Linked DNA regions of Macaca mulatta. The protein of the gene in region 1 purifies or fractionates together with the protein of each later gene. This does not show direct contact. Links are inferred from orthologs where the notes say so. Each region holds a gene or a part of one and is shown on either strand. Other genes may lie near its edges.

Region 1 (6,606 bases):
AATTTTAATACGCTGCATCTCAAAAGTAAATATTTGGAAACTACTACAGTGAAAAAGCAATCGTCCCTTTAAATTTAGCCATTTATTGTGAACTTAAAAGATAACTATTGAACCACAAAAAATTGAAGGAGGAATAGGCCAAACAATCCAGGTTGGGAACTAAGCACTGGTACTTTTTAAAAAGCTCCTCTGCTAATTCTCAATGTGTAGCCAGGGTGAAGAGACCAATGACCTACAGGCGACATGAATAATGTATCTCCACTGTAACTGTCACAGTCACACTACAATTTAAAGTTATGAATAAACTAGATTAAAACAAATAGCATCATCAAGACAAGTATGCTTTACCTAACTAACGTATAATACCGACAGTACTTTCTAATGACATTAACCTGTGCAAAAATAAATACAAAGCTATAGTTTTAATAACTTGGACAGCAAAGACAAAAGCTTGTAACAAGAAACAGGAGTTTTTCTAAATGGTTCACCAGTGGCCAACCTGTTAGTCCCCGATTCCAGTGACCTATTCTCAGAGCACTGGCTTCTCCTTGGGGATTTTCGATACTTCACTCACTGTTGCCATGACGACAGCTTCATCTCTATGTACCACTCCACATCACCCAGGCTTTGGTAAATGTAGCTGGTCGCTGTATAGTCGGTTGCAAGGGAAAAAAGAGTTGAAGTTAATAACATATACAAGTTACGTGCTTGAGTAAACTTGTAATATGCATAGAAACACTTTTACATCCTGCTTTAAAAAAAGGCTTCCATGCAATTAACAACTCCTTTTAAATTTTGCTATAATCAGACTTCTAAGATTGAAACAAAATCAGTTTCTCTGTAATAATGACCCAAAAAACAAAGTTACATCAGACACAACGATCAGGTGAGATTATATTATTTTAAATTCCATGGTTTTTACAGGTAAGACCTATTCTGACATCAAGGAAGAAAACTTAGTCTCACAGGAAAATTTCACAAAAGATAATCATATGATTACATAATAGCTGGCTCAATGGTTCAAAGAATAATACTAGAAAACCATTTCCTTTAAGCAAAGAGAAACCTTTGACTAAAGATAGAGCCTTGTATTAGTGTCATAACTTTAAACATCCTGAAGAATCAGCCAGGTATCTAAATACAGATTAAAGCTCAGACCATACCAAAGACCAATTTGAAATCTTCCCAATTCCCAGGGACTCATCAACAAACTAAAAGATGTTTTAGAATTTAAAAATTACTCTATCCCTGGACACAGTTAAGGTGAATGAGAAAAGATGGGGGAGAAAAAGTATGTAGAAAAACTGTTTCAGACTTTTTGACTAGGATATTTTTTTTAAAAAAAGAACTGTCTGTAGACTCACAGAATAGACTAGTCATCTAAAAGTTGCTTTAATATTTGCTTGTCTGAATAGTTCCATTACTGCCAACTTACAGATTCAGCCAATAAGGACTACACATATAGGATACTAACAGCACTAACCAACATACCCAGCCCCCAGAACAACTTATAATCCTTTTAATAACTTCCTTTCAAACTCAGTACACTGACTAACATCACTACAATTCCTTAAAGAGTGAATACAAAAACTAATCTACACCAACTATATCCTTCTGCAGCATGTACTGAAAGTCACCTGTAGATGCAGGAAGTCCTGCAACAAACTTTTTGGTACTGCCTCACAGGAACACATAGGTCCACATAAAATTATGTTACCACAACACCTAGGAGATACTATTTCAGTCTCTGTATTTTCTTACAACATCAAATAAATGAGCCTTATCTAAATGCAACCCAGTCAATCTTGTTAATTTTCTAACCCACTCACTGAGACTGTATCTGACCAAAACAAAATACCTGTTTATTCCCTTTGACTTCAAACTTCAAACTTTATCATCCTGCAGTCCTTTCAGATCCGGTATTATTCGATATATCGTAGTTCAATGTTGAGAAGTACTCTAACAAAAGCCAACCTCAATTGATAAAGAATTAACTGGGACTTCGAGTAGAAAAACATAATCTACACAGAACTTTGCCACAATATTAACTTAAACTACAGTGTTTAAACTTCCACAGCCTTCAGTCTTCCAGAGAGGGGAGAGGAAAAATAACTTACAGAATACACTCACACTTGAGCCAAATGTACTCCCTTTCTTGTTTAATCTTAAGCCACAGGCCTGGCTTCACAGCACTGTTAGGATTGTCCATAAATGCAACTGCCTCTACAAACTTTAGATAACCGGTTAATTATGTTTCTTTTTTCAAATTATTTTAAATATCAGTGTTCCTATATGAACTTTAACACCTAAATTAAAGTCCGTTTTCTTTTGCATCCATATTCACTTGAGAGGAAAGATGTTTTGATTTGATGACAAGTGCACAGTACAGCAGTAGCAAGTGATGCTATGTTCAATAATGCCAATCTTACCTTTTTCCTCTTAACTGGCGTAGGTGGTGGAATACATTAATCACATCTCTTATTCTTCTAGGTGCTTCTTCGATTTTTGATGCAAGATTAATACAAGCCATAGCAACAATCTGTAAGAAGCCACGAGCCACAAAAGCCATTGTTAGATTAAACTCACTTTGAAGAATAAACTTTAGAACACAAGTGGGACAATCTTTAGTAAAATTAGAGCGGACATTTCTATGCCATAAGCCTACCAGCTATGCTAGTACTACACTCTTTGTTGTTCCACTCATCTTAATTTTGGTTCCAGAGTCAAGCTCAATCTCACAGCACTTCTGTATTTGGTTGAAAACTACTTCTCGTTAAGAGGGCACTTAGGCTCGGGATCCATTTTCTGGATTGTGAACCACACTCTAAAGGTTTCCACTTCCTGGCGAGTGAGAAGTAGGTACAAAGGCCTAAACTAAACCACTCCCTTTCTGGAAAAGCTGGCTGCTAACACTACCCCTACTTCTGCCCATTTCCGGATGAAGAAATCCCTTTTACCCGCCTCCGCTGTGCTTACCTCGAAACTGTGTTTGACGAAAGATTTGGAGTAGAAAAAACGATGAAACAACACCTGCCCCGTTGCCATCGCCACCTGCAGACAAGAGAGGAGAACGGAAGCGCAGGGGTCAGGCGGGCCCGCTCCAGGCGCCGCCGCCATTTTGTGCCGCCGATCGCTTCCCTTTCCCCTCCCGCCGCCGCCGCGAACAGCCCGCTGCCAGGTCCTCCCTCCGCCTCCGCAGCCCCCCGCCCCGGCACACCCCGGCCCCGGCTGGGCCCCGAATGGGAGAGCCTGAGGGAGCCGTCCCCACCCTCCCGGGGCACAGTGATACGGGGATGCGGCGTAGGGGACGGAGGGGAGGAGAGGAGCGCCCAGCCGACCCAGGGCCAGAGCACTGACCTGCGGCAGCCGGAGGAGAATGCCGGCGGCCTGGATGAGCTCGCAGCCCAGGATGCGTAAGTCTGTCTCGCTGGGCAGGTCAAGCCCGTCCTGCATGGATGGGGTGGGCGAGAGCCTCTCCTCCGGAATCAGAGAGTGGTCGATGGTGAGTGAAACTTCCGAGTACAGGCGATCGCCGATCAGGATCCCTCCCGTCGTGGTCGTCGTCGTGGTCGTCGTCCCGGAGCTGGAGCCGCCCGCGCTTGGGGCGGCAGACGAGGCGGCGGCGGCAGCAGTAGCTGTCGAGTGAGGCCCGGACGCCATAGTCTTAGCGAGCTGCACGCAAGCTCAACGCAGCCGGAACCCGAAACAAGACTAACCAGCGTTCTCGGCGCGACGGATATTCCCGTGACCGCCGGGTTCTGGGCCGCTTCACGCCGCGTGCGCTTCCGCCCTGACGTCACCACGCCGGGCCGCCGCGCGCCAACTAGTCCCTTCAGGCCGCGCCTCCGCCCTCGGCATCCGGGCCTGCGAGGAGTGTTTGGTGCTGCGACAGACCTTGGGGTCATCAGTGGCTAAGGAGGCCTTCTCTAGCCAAGGCCTGTCGACACCACCTTGTTTGTGATACTTAGCCACACGAATAATGGAGCTTTACAAGATCCCTTATGCCCAAAATAGAGATGGCGGCGTTGGCTATCATCTCTGCGCCCCTTCACCCTGCGTTCCGGCCTCTTCCTTTAACCTCGGCGCGGCTAGTGTTCCGCATGTACCAAGGGAAGTGGCGGCCGACCTGAGCGCGCTTTGGCGGGTGAAAGTGGTGACTGGTGTCGTGTGTGGACGAATGTGTAATATAAAGTGACCCTCAAGGAAACTGGAGAGGGCTGCTTTACAGTATTTATCCTGCTTTACAGTATTTGAAGAACACAGGACAGTGGACTGTATCGGTTCCGATGAAAGTTCCCCGGGGGGCGTGTTTTTGCCAGTGTGGGGAAGTAGGGCGGAGGCACAGGAATGACCGTGAGGGCGGCTGCTTTCGTAGCTCCGCTTGCGAAACTCCTGCCCGGCCTTTGACACTGACAAGGCTTTCAGTAATCTGGAAAATCCCTAGTTTCCAAAAATAGTCTTAGGGCGAGGACTTGACAGAGGTAATTTGATTATGCCTGGGAGTGTCAGTTCATACATAGTTACCTGCCGAGGGTAGGCAGAATAGGTGAAGTCAACCTCGTGGGTTTTTTTTTTCTGTGATGTTAGCTAGAAATTTCCAGCGTTTCCTGAACATTGAGGTAAAAACGATGATACTGATCTAAACTACTAGAATCTAGGTTGGAAGGAAAGTAATGCATCACGTTTTACTCTTGACGCTCAGAAAGCGATACCCCAAAGACTGAGAGGCTTTAGAAGCTGCCTCATAATGCAGGTCCCCCTAACCTTGACTTGTTGCCCGCCCTTTCCCCAAGTGCGGGGAGGTACTCTCTGAAATTTCATTCCCAGACTAGAGAAGCCTCTTTGTAGAAGAAACAATCGCATTCCTCCCCTCACTGAGATCTGGTATCCTATTTCAGAAAGACAGAAATGCAGCCATGCCTGGAGGGACTTTTTCACAAGATAACTCAAAAGAAAATTATTTGCTAATTAATTTCTGTCCATTCATTCTTCCTAATAATCATTTGCTGCTTCTCAAAATAAATGTCTACATTTCCCATCTCCCCTTTCCCCTATGAAAAAAAGGATATAAAATCTTCTGTACTCCATTAAGCTACTGGGTAATGATTCTCCTGCTATTATTCCGGTGTTATGTATGCCTTGTCTCCTGTTAATCGCCTGTTATCAGTTGATTTTTTTTTTCTTTTTTTAAGGTGGAGTCTCGCTCTGTCGCCCAAGCTGGAGTGCAGTGGCGCGATCTCGGCTCACTGCAACTTCCGCCTCCCGGGTTCAAGCGATTCTCCCACCTCAGCCTCCCCTAGCTGGGATTACAGGCACACACCACATGCCCAGCTAATTTTTGTATTTTTGTAGAGAGGGGGTTTCACCATGTTGGCTAGGCTGGTCTTGAACTCGTGACCTCAGGTGATCCGCCCGCCGTGGCCTCCCAAAATGCTGGGATTACAGGCATGAGCCACCGCACCTGGCCTTACCAGTTGATTATTTAAGTGAACCTTCAGCGGCAAAGTTGTTTTAAAACGTACTGATAATTGAGCCTTGTCTGCAGAGGTTGAGGCCATTGATTTAAGGTGGGCCCAGCCAGTGGTTCAATTTTGCCTGTCTTCCAGTGATTGGAATGTACAGCCAAGAGAGTGTAATTATGGTGCTGGCAGAAGTATTAACCTATCTGGATGTCACTGTCTTCACTTTCTGACTAGGCTGCTTCCAGGGAATCTTTCCACCTCAGTATTTATGAGAGATCTATAATTTTATAACAAACTTTTAAAGGAGACTTGGTTTCCTTAAACACAACTGATGACACCAGTTTTCTGGTTTTCTTCCATTTTTGTTTTTACAGCCATTGTCTCACTGTGTTGCCCAGGCTGGCTTTGAATTACTGAACTCAAGGGATCTTCCCACCTCAGCCACCTGAGTAGCTGGGACTATAAGTGGCACACCACTGTGCCTGGTCAGTTTTCTGGTTTTGATAACCTTTGGTTGTGTGAGATATTATCATTGGGGAAAGTTGGAGGAATATATAGGAGAAGTCTGTTTTTGCAACTTTCATGTCTTATTTCCAAATAACCCTAATTGATTATGGACTTCATTGAAACATTGGACTTCAATGAAATCATTACCTATATTTGTAATGACTTGAGAATAATATAATTTAACTTAATTTTGACCTCTGAACTTTTTATTGGCCTCCTGCCCCAAAGGGTACCCTGCTTCTGCTGGTTTAATGTCTCAGAACTTTGGTGTCTTTGGTCTCAGATACCACTTTGCCATCCACTCTCCAGTGGATGGTGGTCTTTTGGATGGTTTGCATGGAGTTGCTGCTGTCCAGGGCATCACCAAGATTGAAGTCCTTGCCGTCTTCCAGCAGGTGGCGGTAGGTGGCAATCTCAGCCTCCAGCTTGACCCTGATGTTCAGCAGGGCCTCGTATTCCTGGGTCTGGCACTGTCCCTTTGCCCGGGCCTGTGCCAGCTCTGACTCCAGGTGCAGCAAGATCCTGTTAAGCTGCTCCATCTGCAGGGCATAATAGGCCTCCACCTCCCTTAGGCTGTTCTCCAAGCTGTCCTTCGGATTTCTCATGGAGTCCAGGTTGATCTCCAAGGACTGGACTA
Region 2 (6,697 bases), on another chromosome or scaffold:
TTTGGTTTTCTTTCTCCTGACATTGACATTTTTGAAGAATCCAGCTTAGCTCTTTGGCAGAATGTCGCCCAGCTTGGATTTGGCTGATGGCGCCCTTATTATTAGATTCAGGTTAAATGTTTTGGCAGGAGTACCTCATGGGGGAGGTGTCCCTTCTCGTTGCATCACATCAGAGGATTAGTTGGTTCCCTACTGATGAGAAGTTTGGACCACGGATAAGGTGGTGACCTCGTTTCCCCTTGGTAATCCCTAAGTCATTTGTGGGGTAACACTGTATTCACTGAAGGTCTCTGACTGTGGCAAATGCTAGGCGAGCTAGTGGTGAGCACCCACACTCTGTCCTTGTTCTTGTGCTGTTTTTACAAGGGAGGAGACAGACAATAAGGAAACAAATAATGACAAGATATGCAGTTTTATGAAGGATGTGGATAGGGTGCTGAGATAGAGAAGTATCAACTGTAGAGAAAGTCATCTTTAAGGTGAGACTTGAGCTGGGGGCATGCCTGTAGTCCCAACTCCTCAGGAGGCTGAGGTGGGAGGATCGTGTAAGCCCAGGAGTTCTGGGCTGTAGTGCATAATGCCGATCAGGTGTCCACACTAAGTTTGGCATCAACTATCATGACCTCCTGGGGCTGGGGGACCACCAGGTTGCCAGGTGGCAAACAGCAGGTCAAAACTCCCGTGCGGATCAGTAGTGGGATCATTCCTGTGAATAGGCCACTGCACTCCAGCCTGGGCAATATAGTGATACTCTATTTCTAAAAAAAATACTACTAATAAAGAAAAAGGCGAAACTTGAATAGGGAAAAGGAGTCACCCTTGGGAAGGTGGGGTGGAGGGGTTGGTGGTGGCTCCTAGTTAAGCTTGGAGGATGGAAGGAACCAAAAGATGGATGCGTGGTGGTCTCAGGGAGGGAGGCATGATCAGAGAAAGGCCCTGGGTCTGGGAATAATCATATTGTACACATAGTATCTTAATATTGAACACCATCCTACATGTTTCACATGCTTTACCTTGTTTAATTCTCCTTGCAGCCCTGTGAAGTGAGTGCTATTACTGGTTTTGTGCTGTAGAATCTGTGACACAGAGAGGTTGAGTAATTGTCCTAAGGTCACACAGCTTCTAAGTAGCAGTGCTGGATAGATCTGACTCTACAGTCTGTGCTCTTAGCTGTGTCAAGGAGGAAGGCCCAGGATTTCATCTAGAAAACAGACTGTGAAAAGGGATTGGAATGAGAGCAACCTGCACTGGGTGCAGAGGTCCTGTCGATAAAGGATGCAGGATGGGAAAGGAAGACAAAGGAAGGGCCTAGAAGGTCCAAGGAGAAGGGTGTTCAGGGCTGCAAGCAACACTGGAAGCCAGGCCAGTTCAGTTGACCACCTACCCTGGTGCATCCCCAATCCCTGCTGTCCCTTCAGGTCGGATTTGCAATTCTGCTCTCCCTCCTCCTAAACACAAACAGGAGATTTACACACTCAAAGTCTCTCCCCACAAATAACTAACTAATCACAAAGGGAAAAATTGTAACTTTGCAGTGGCACAACCTGGCCGACGCCAGCTTAACCAAGTGACCAAAGTGGATATTCAGGGAAGGCTCTGGAAGGGCATTTGGGGGAAGCGTGGAAAGGTTTTGTGAGGACTCTGAATGACGGGGGTGGGAAGCTTTGGGGACTGAGGAGTCTACCCTAACAGGGCAGGGTCCAGAGGGGGAAGGAGGGGTATGTCTCCGGGAAAAGGAGAAGTATTGAGGTGGGAGAGGTTCTGAGGTTTGAGCGAGGCCCTGGGGAGGGACTTGACAGTTTGGGTGACAGGAGGGTCAGAATAGGGTCAGTATGGGAGGTGTCGGGTGGGTAAAAGCTGGGTGAGTGCAGGGCTAGGGGTAGGGTCTCCAAGGACAGTGAAAGGGTCGGGACTCGCGGGCGAGGGCTCTAGGGCAACGGCCAGTGGAAGGGGGGCTCCTGTGGCGTGAAGTCAGGCCAGCCCGAGGGTGAGGCGATTTGGACCGTCCGACCTGGGGCGACGGGAGGGCGAGGGTGCGGGACGGTGCGGGAGGGCGCGAGGTAGGCGGCGGGGCGTGCCGGGGCGGGGCCGGGGCGGGGCCGGCACCGCCCGGCGGGTCCCCCCGCGCTCCAGGGGGCGCTGTGAGCCTGGGCGGTCCCAGGCCGGGCGGCGGCCGCTCCCAGCGAGCGCGGCCCCTTTTCCGGGTTTCCTCCGCCTCCTCCTTCTCTCCTCCTTCTTCTCCGCTGCCGCGGCCGCTGCCCCTTTCCCGGCCGGTGGCTGCCACTGCCGGTGCCGCCGCCGCCACTGCCGCCGCCTCCTGGGGGCCGCGAGCCGAGCGGAGACCGCCGCGGATCGCGAGCGCCGCCCGCCCCGCCGCCCCGCCGGCCGCTCCAGGGCCGGGCCGGCTCGGCCGGCGCCCCCCGCGCCCCCAGCCCGCCCGCCCCCGCGGGCCCGGCCTGGCGCGGCCGCCCGCCGCCGCGTTCCTCCTCCTCCTCCTCCAGCGCCCGGCGGCCCGCTGCCCCCTCCGCCCGCCGCCCCGCGCCCTCCGCCGCGTCGCCGCCGCCACCCTCTGCGCCCCGCGCCGCCCCCCGGTCCCGCCCGCCATGCCCGGCCCGGCCGCGGGCAGCAGGGCCCGGGTCTACGCCGAGGTGAACAGCCTGAGGAGCCGCGAGTACTGGGACTACGAGGCTCACGTCCCGAGCTGGGGGTAAAGCCGCCGCCGCCCCCCGCCGGGCCCGCTGACCCCTGCCCCCGCCCGGCCACCCCCTGCGAACCGCACTCGGGCCCGGTGGTGTCTCCCGCCGACCCCTCCGCGGGCCCGCAGGGAGGCAGAGGTCCAGCTCTCGCACATGTCCTCGTCTTCCTCTTCCCTCCCCTTGTCCCTTTCTCCCCGCTTTGCGCACCTCTTTCCCCCAAGGAATGCTTTTTTACTCGGGGAGAAGTGTGGGGTCCAGGGATCGACGCCCGGTAAAAGTGAGGGAGTAGCCCTTCCTCACGCTTCTGGGTTTCCACTGGGGTGGGAAGTCAACAGCTGTCCTTTGGAGCTATTAAAATTCCCTGCCTTTTCGGTTTTCTGAGATGAGGTGGTGGGAGGAAATTTCTTAAAGACGTCCAGTTTTTTAAAACAGGCACTGTCTACCCTCAGGGTGTGAAACGGGAAGCAGGTGCTGGGGAGCCGCGGGGCACAGGGGGCACCCTCTAGGCCTTCAGGACGGGTGCTTTGCTCAGCCCTCTGGATTGGCTCAGAGCGTTGCCTTCCTGCCCCATCTTTCCAAGTTAGGAGAGACCAATTAGGTTAGGAGCTCTGCAGAGTGAAGGGAGCCAAGATTACGTCGTGGCTTTCATTTAGGGAATGAGTTGTGACGTGATGTATAGACACTTCCAAGTGTTTGCCTGTTGGAAGCGGCTGAATGACGTATACAGTGAGCATAGGCTTGCTTAGATTAACCCCCAGTCCTGGCATTTATGTGTGTGTCTTCCTTTTACAGTAATCAAGATGATTACCAACTGGTTCGAAAACTTGGTCGGGGAAAATATAGTGAAGTATTTGAGGCCATTAACATCACCAACAATGAGAGAGTGGTTGTAAAAATCCTCAAGGTGAGTGTCCTATGAGTGGTATGTAACATTTTTCCCCCCACAGGGCAGAAGGTTGTAAGCTACCCCAGTCACGTTCTAGAATGGGCAATGCAAGCTTGAATTTAATTTAATTTATTTATTTAGAGTCAGAGTCTCACTCTGTCACCCAGGCTGTAGTGCAGATCATAGTTCACTGCAGCCTTCAACTCCTGAGCTCAAATGATCCTCCCATCTCACCCAAGTAGCTGAGACTACAGGTGCATGCCACCACGCCCAGTTATTTTTAAAATTTTTTTGTAGAGTCAGGGTCTGGTCAAGTTGCCCAGGCTGGTCTTAAACTCCTGAGCTCAAGCAGTCCTCCAAAAGGACTCCTTGCAGGCCTCCTAAAATTGCTGGGTTTACAGGCATAAGCCGCTGTGCCCAGCCCACGCTCAGATTTTATTTATCTGATGTCCCTTCATTACTTCTTTTTCCACCCCATTTTGCTGTGAACTTTCAAGAAAATGTGCAGACTGGTCACAGATCTTAGTTCAAATCTAAGTTCAGGAAGGTGTTTGTTCTAAAAAGTAAATTGCCTAAAGCAAAAATTCCTAAAGGGCTCCATTTGTTAGAAAATAAATAGGTATTCAAAAGACAGGAAAGCCATTCTCAATTTAAGGGCTCCCTGAGCACTGTGTTTGTTAGTCTTGGTGCATGCTCTCCGTTGTTCCAGAAAGAAAGTTGGAAAAAATTGGAGCGACTTCAGAAATGTATGTCAAACCCAAGTGGAAGGAAATTCCTTAGCAGATAATCACTTGCTTTTTTTTTTCCTTTGGCAGTAAAGTTTCAGGTGGGATGGATATAGTGCGCCAGTAGTGCTGAGAAGCCTTGTTGGGAAGCCAGAGAGCCATTGTTGCTTATCAGCTAGTAAAAATGTAGAAGAATTCACGTATTATTACTAAAGCAATAATTGGAACAAAACGATTTTAATATATGGTTTAGCAATCAGTTTGATAATGATATGTCTTTTGTTATCTCTTCCATGAAGATGATTTTAATGAGCATGAAGGGTCGGCTAAATTTTCCTTCTGGTAACAGATTAATTGTATAGCTTTAATAATGTTTTATAGGCTATAGTAAAAAGTAGTTCTTAGAATCTGTGATGGGTCTTCGTTATTGCCAGATCATTTCATGTGGTTACATGTCATTTAGTGAGAGATTGAGAAGACGGAAGAGTGACGTAAGCACTTTGCATACATGTGATTTCCAGTGTGGCCCTTTTGCAGAGGTTCTGTGGACTAAGAATGTGGAATTGAAAAGCTGTTTCTGTGTGTTAGAGCAGCTGTGTAGGTAATCACTGTTTAATGTGAGGGGTCAGGCTTATGCTTCCTGGTAATCTTTCAGAAAAAATGATTAACTCCATCACTCAAAACATCCTAGCCTAGTGATGAAGAAGCAGAATTGCAGTAAAGAGAAATAGACAGTTACTTGTGTTCTCAGACACACTGGGGATGAGAAGTGAGGAATTGATGTTGAAGATACTGAGTGTGACTCCTCTCTTCCCTAAATATGTATTGCATTTATGAAGTCACAAGGTTTTTTTTTTTTTTTAAGTCACAGGGAAATTACCTTAAAAAGCCATACATTAGCTTTATATATATAAGCATAAGTTTTTAATAAGCTGCTTCAAATCTAAGAAATAAGCGAGGCGTAAATTGAAATTAGGAATATCCACATTCCACTGCTGTATATTCAGAAGAATGAATTGCTGACTCTAAAGCAATTCCGGAAAAATGTCTGAACTTTTGTGCTATGGCAGCATTTTTAGAATAAGTGTACGATTTTCTGTGGTGCTTTTTTTTTTGAAAGGAATAGCATTCAGGTGTATGTATAAATCCCAGCATGTTCATTTAGGAGAGCATCACATTGCTGCTTCATCATCTGAAGAGCTTCATAGGCTCTAGCTTTCTCCTACTCTAAAGATTCTCAGCAGATGTTAGGAAACCCAGTATGTAAGCTGCTGCAGGTTATCTTTACAAATGGGAGACCTAGGCACAAAGAAACTTACCTAATGTCATTATGTTGAATGACCATTAGCCAGAACTCCTGTTTCCTATTTCTTCATATTTCTTACTGTTCATTTTAGCATTGGATTGTAGGATCTGAACGTTGAGCACAGAAACAGGTACCAGTGTCCTGGAATCACACTTGGGAGGCCCCTAGTTAATGAAATGTTTCTTGTTTCTTCTTGACATTGTTTGTTTTCACAGTGCAGCCTAAACCACTAGTGAAACTACACTCAATTATTTATGTTTTTTAAAGCCCGGTGGCATTTCTATCCAGATTTTGTTCCTGTCTGAAGGATGGGGTAATACATCACTAATGGCATTATTGTGATTTTGTTGTTTTGTGAATTGAAAGTATTACTTTTTAAAAAGAACAGGATCTTTAGCCAAAGTTGTGTTTCTTTATTCAAATAAGTTGAAGTTATGACTAATAGCTACTATTGTGGTGCTTGGTCATAGGAAATTAGGTCCTTAACGGAGTACCAGTTGCTCTTAACTTGAAAGAATTTAGAACAGCCTTCCTTTTTGTATAAGCCTGCTGTATTTTAGCTGCAGGATTGTATTATGCACATAGTGACCAAGATAGAGGGTGCCTTTCTTGAGGACAAGCGGTCTTACTTTTGTAGTTTCATATCAGTTCTTTCCTATGTGTGAGAATGGGTAAATGATGAGTGACTACAGAGGAATTTTATATCATTTAATTTGCGTTAGTAGATTTCCAGGTATTGATCAAAAATGAGGTACTAAGAAGTTTTAGGAATTTAGAAACTGGTGAGCAAAATTTTACTGTCTATCCCCAAGTGGTATTCTATGGCTAAAATCTTAAAACTTTCCAATCAATGGAGAGGTTGTATCTTTTTTTGACAAATTGTTTTGAGGAGAAGAGAGAAAAAGGAGGAGGAAAATGGTAAGGGTTTATATGGCTGGGCAGAAAGCTACATTAGTGTCAAAAGTTTCATCTTTTGATTTTGAAAAATCAATTCTTCATTTCCTTTGTAGTACCTCTTAGAAAAGTGTACACAGAAGTAAAAGTGGCCACTTTTGACAACTTTTAGAATTTTATGAACACTGCC

Evidence for each region.
Region 2: the proteins of CCNL1 (region 1) and CSNK2A2 purify together in Homo sapiens (affinity purification with mass spectrometry; 4 studies listed by BioGRID and IntAct, with this or other methods). This does not show direct contact. The link is inferred for Macaca mulatta from reciprocal best matches to the Homo sapiens genes CCNL1 and CSNK2A2.

What each region holds. Positions count from the first base shown.
Region 1 is NC_133407.1:60,340,438-60,347,043, forward strand, and holds the start of CCNL1 (cyclin-L1), read right to left. Parts: upstream 3,714-6,606; 5' UTR 3,661-3,713; coding exon 3,358-3,660; intron 3,052-3,357; coding exon 2,977-3,051; intron 2,540-2,976; coding exon 2,430-2,539; intron 1-2,429. UniProt on the Homo sapiens protein: Involved in pre-mRNA splicing. Functions in association with cyclin-dependent kinases (CDKs). Inhibited by the CDK-specific inhibitor CDKN1A/p21. May play a role in the regulation of RNA polymerase II (pol II).
Region 2 is NC_133425.1:53,800,772-53,807,468, reverse strand, and holds the start of CSNK2A2 (casein kinase II subunit alpha'), read left to right. Parts: upstream 1-2,232; 5' UTR 2,233-2,603; coding exon 2,604-2,707; intron 2,708-3,488; coding exon 3,489-3,600; intron 3,601-6,697.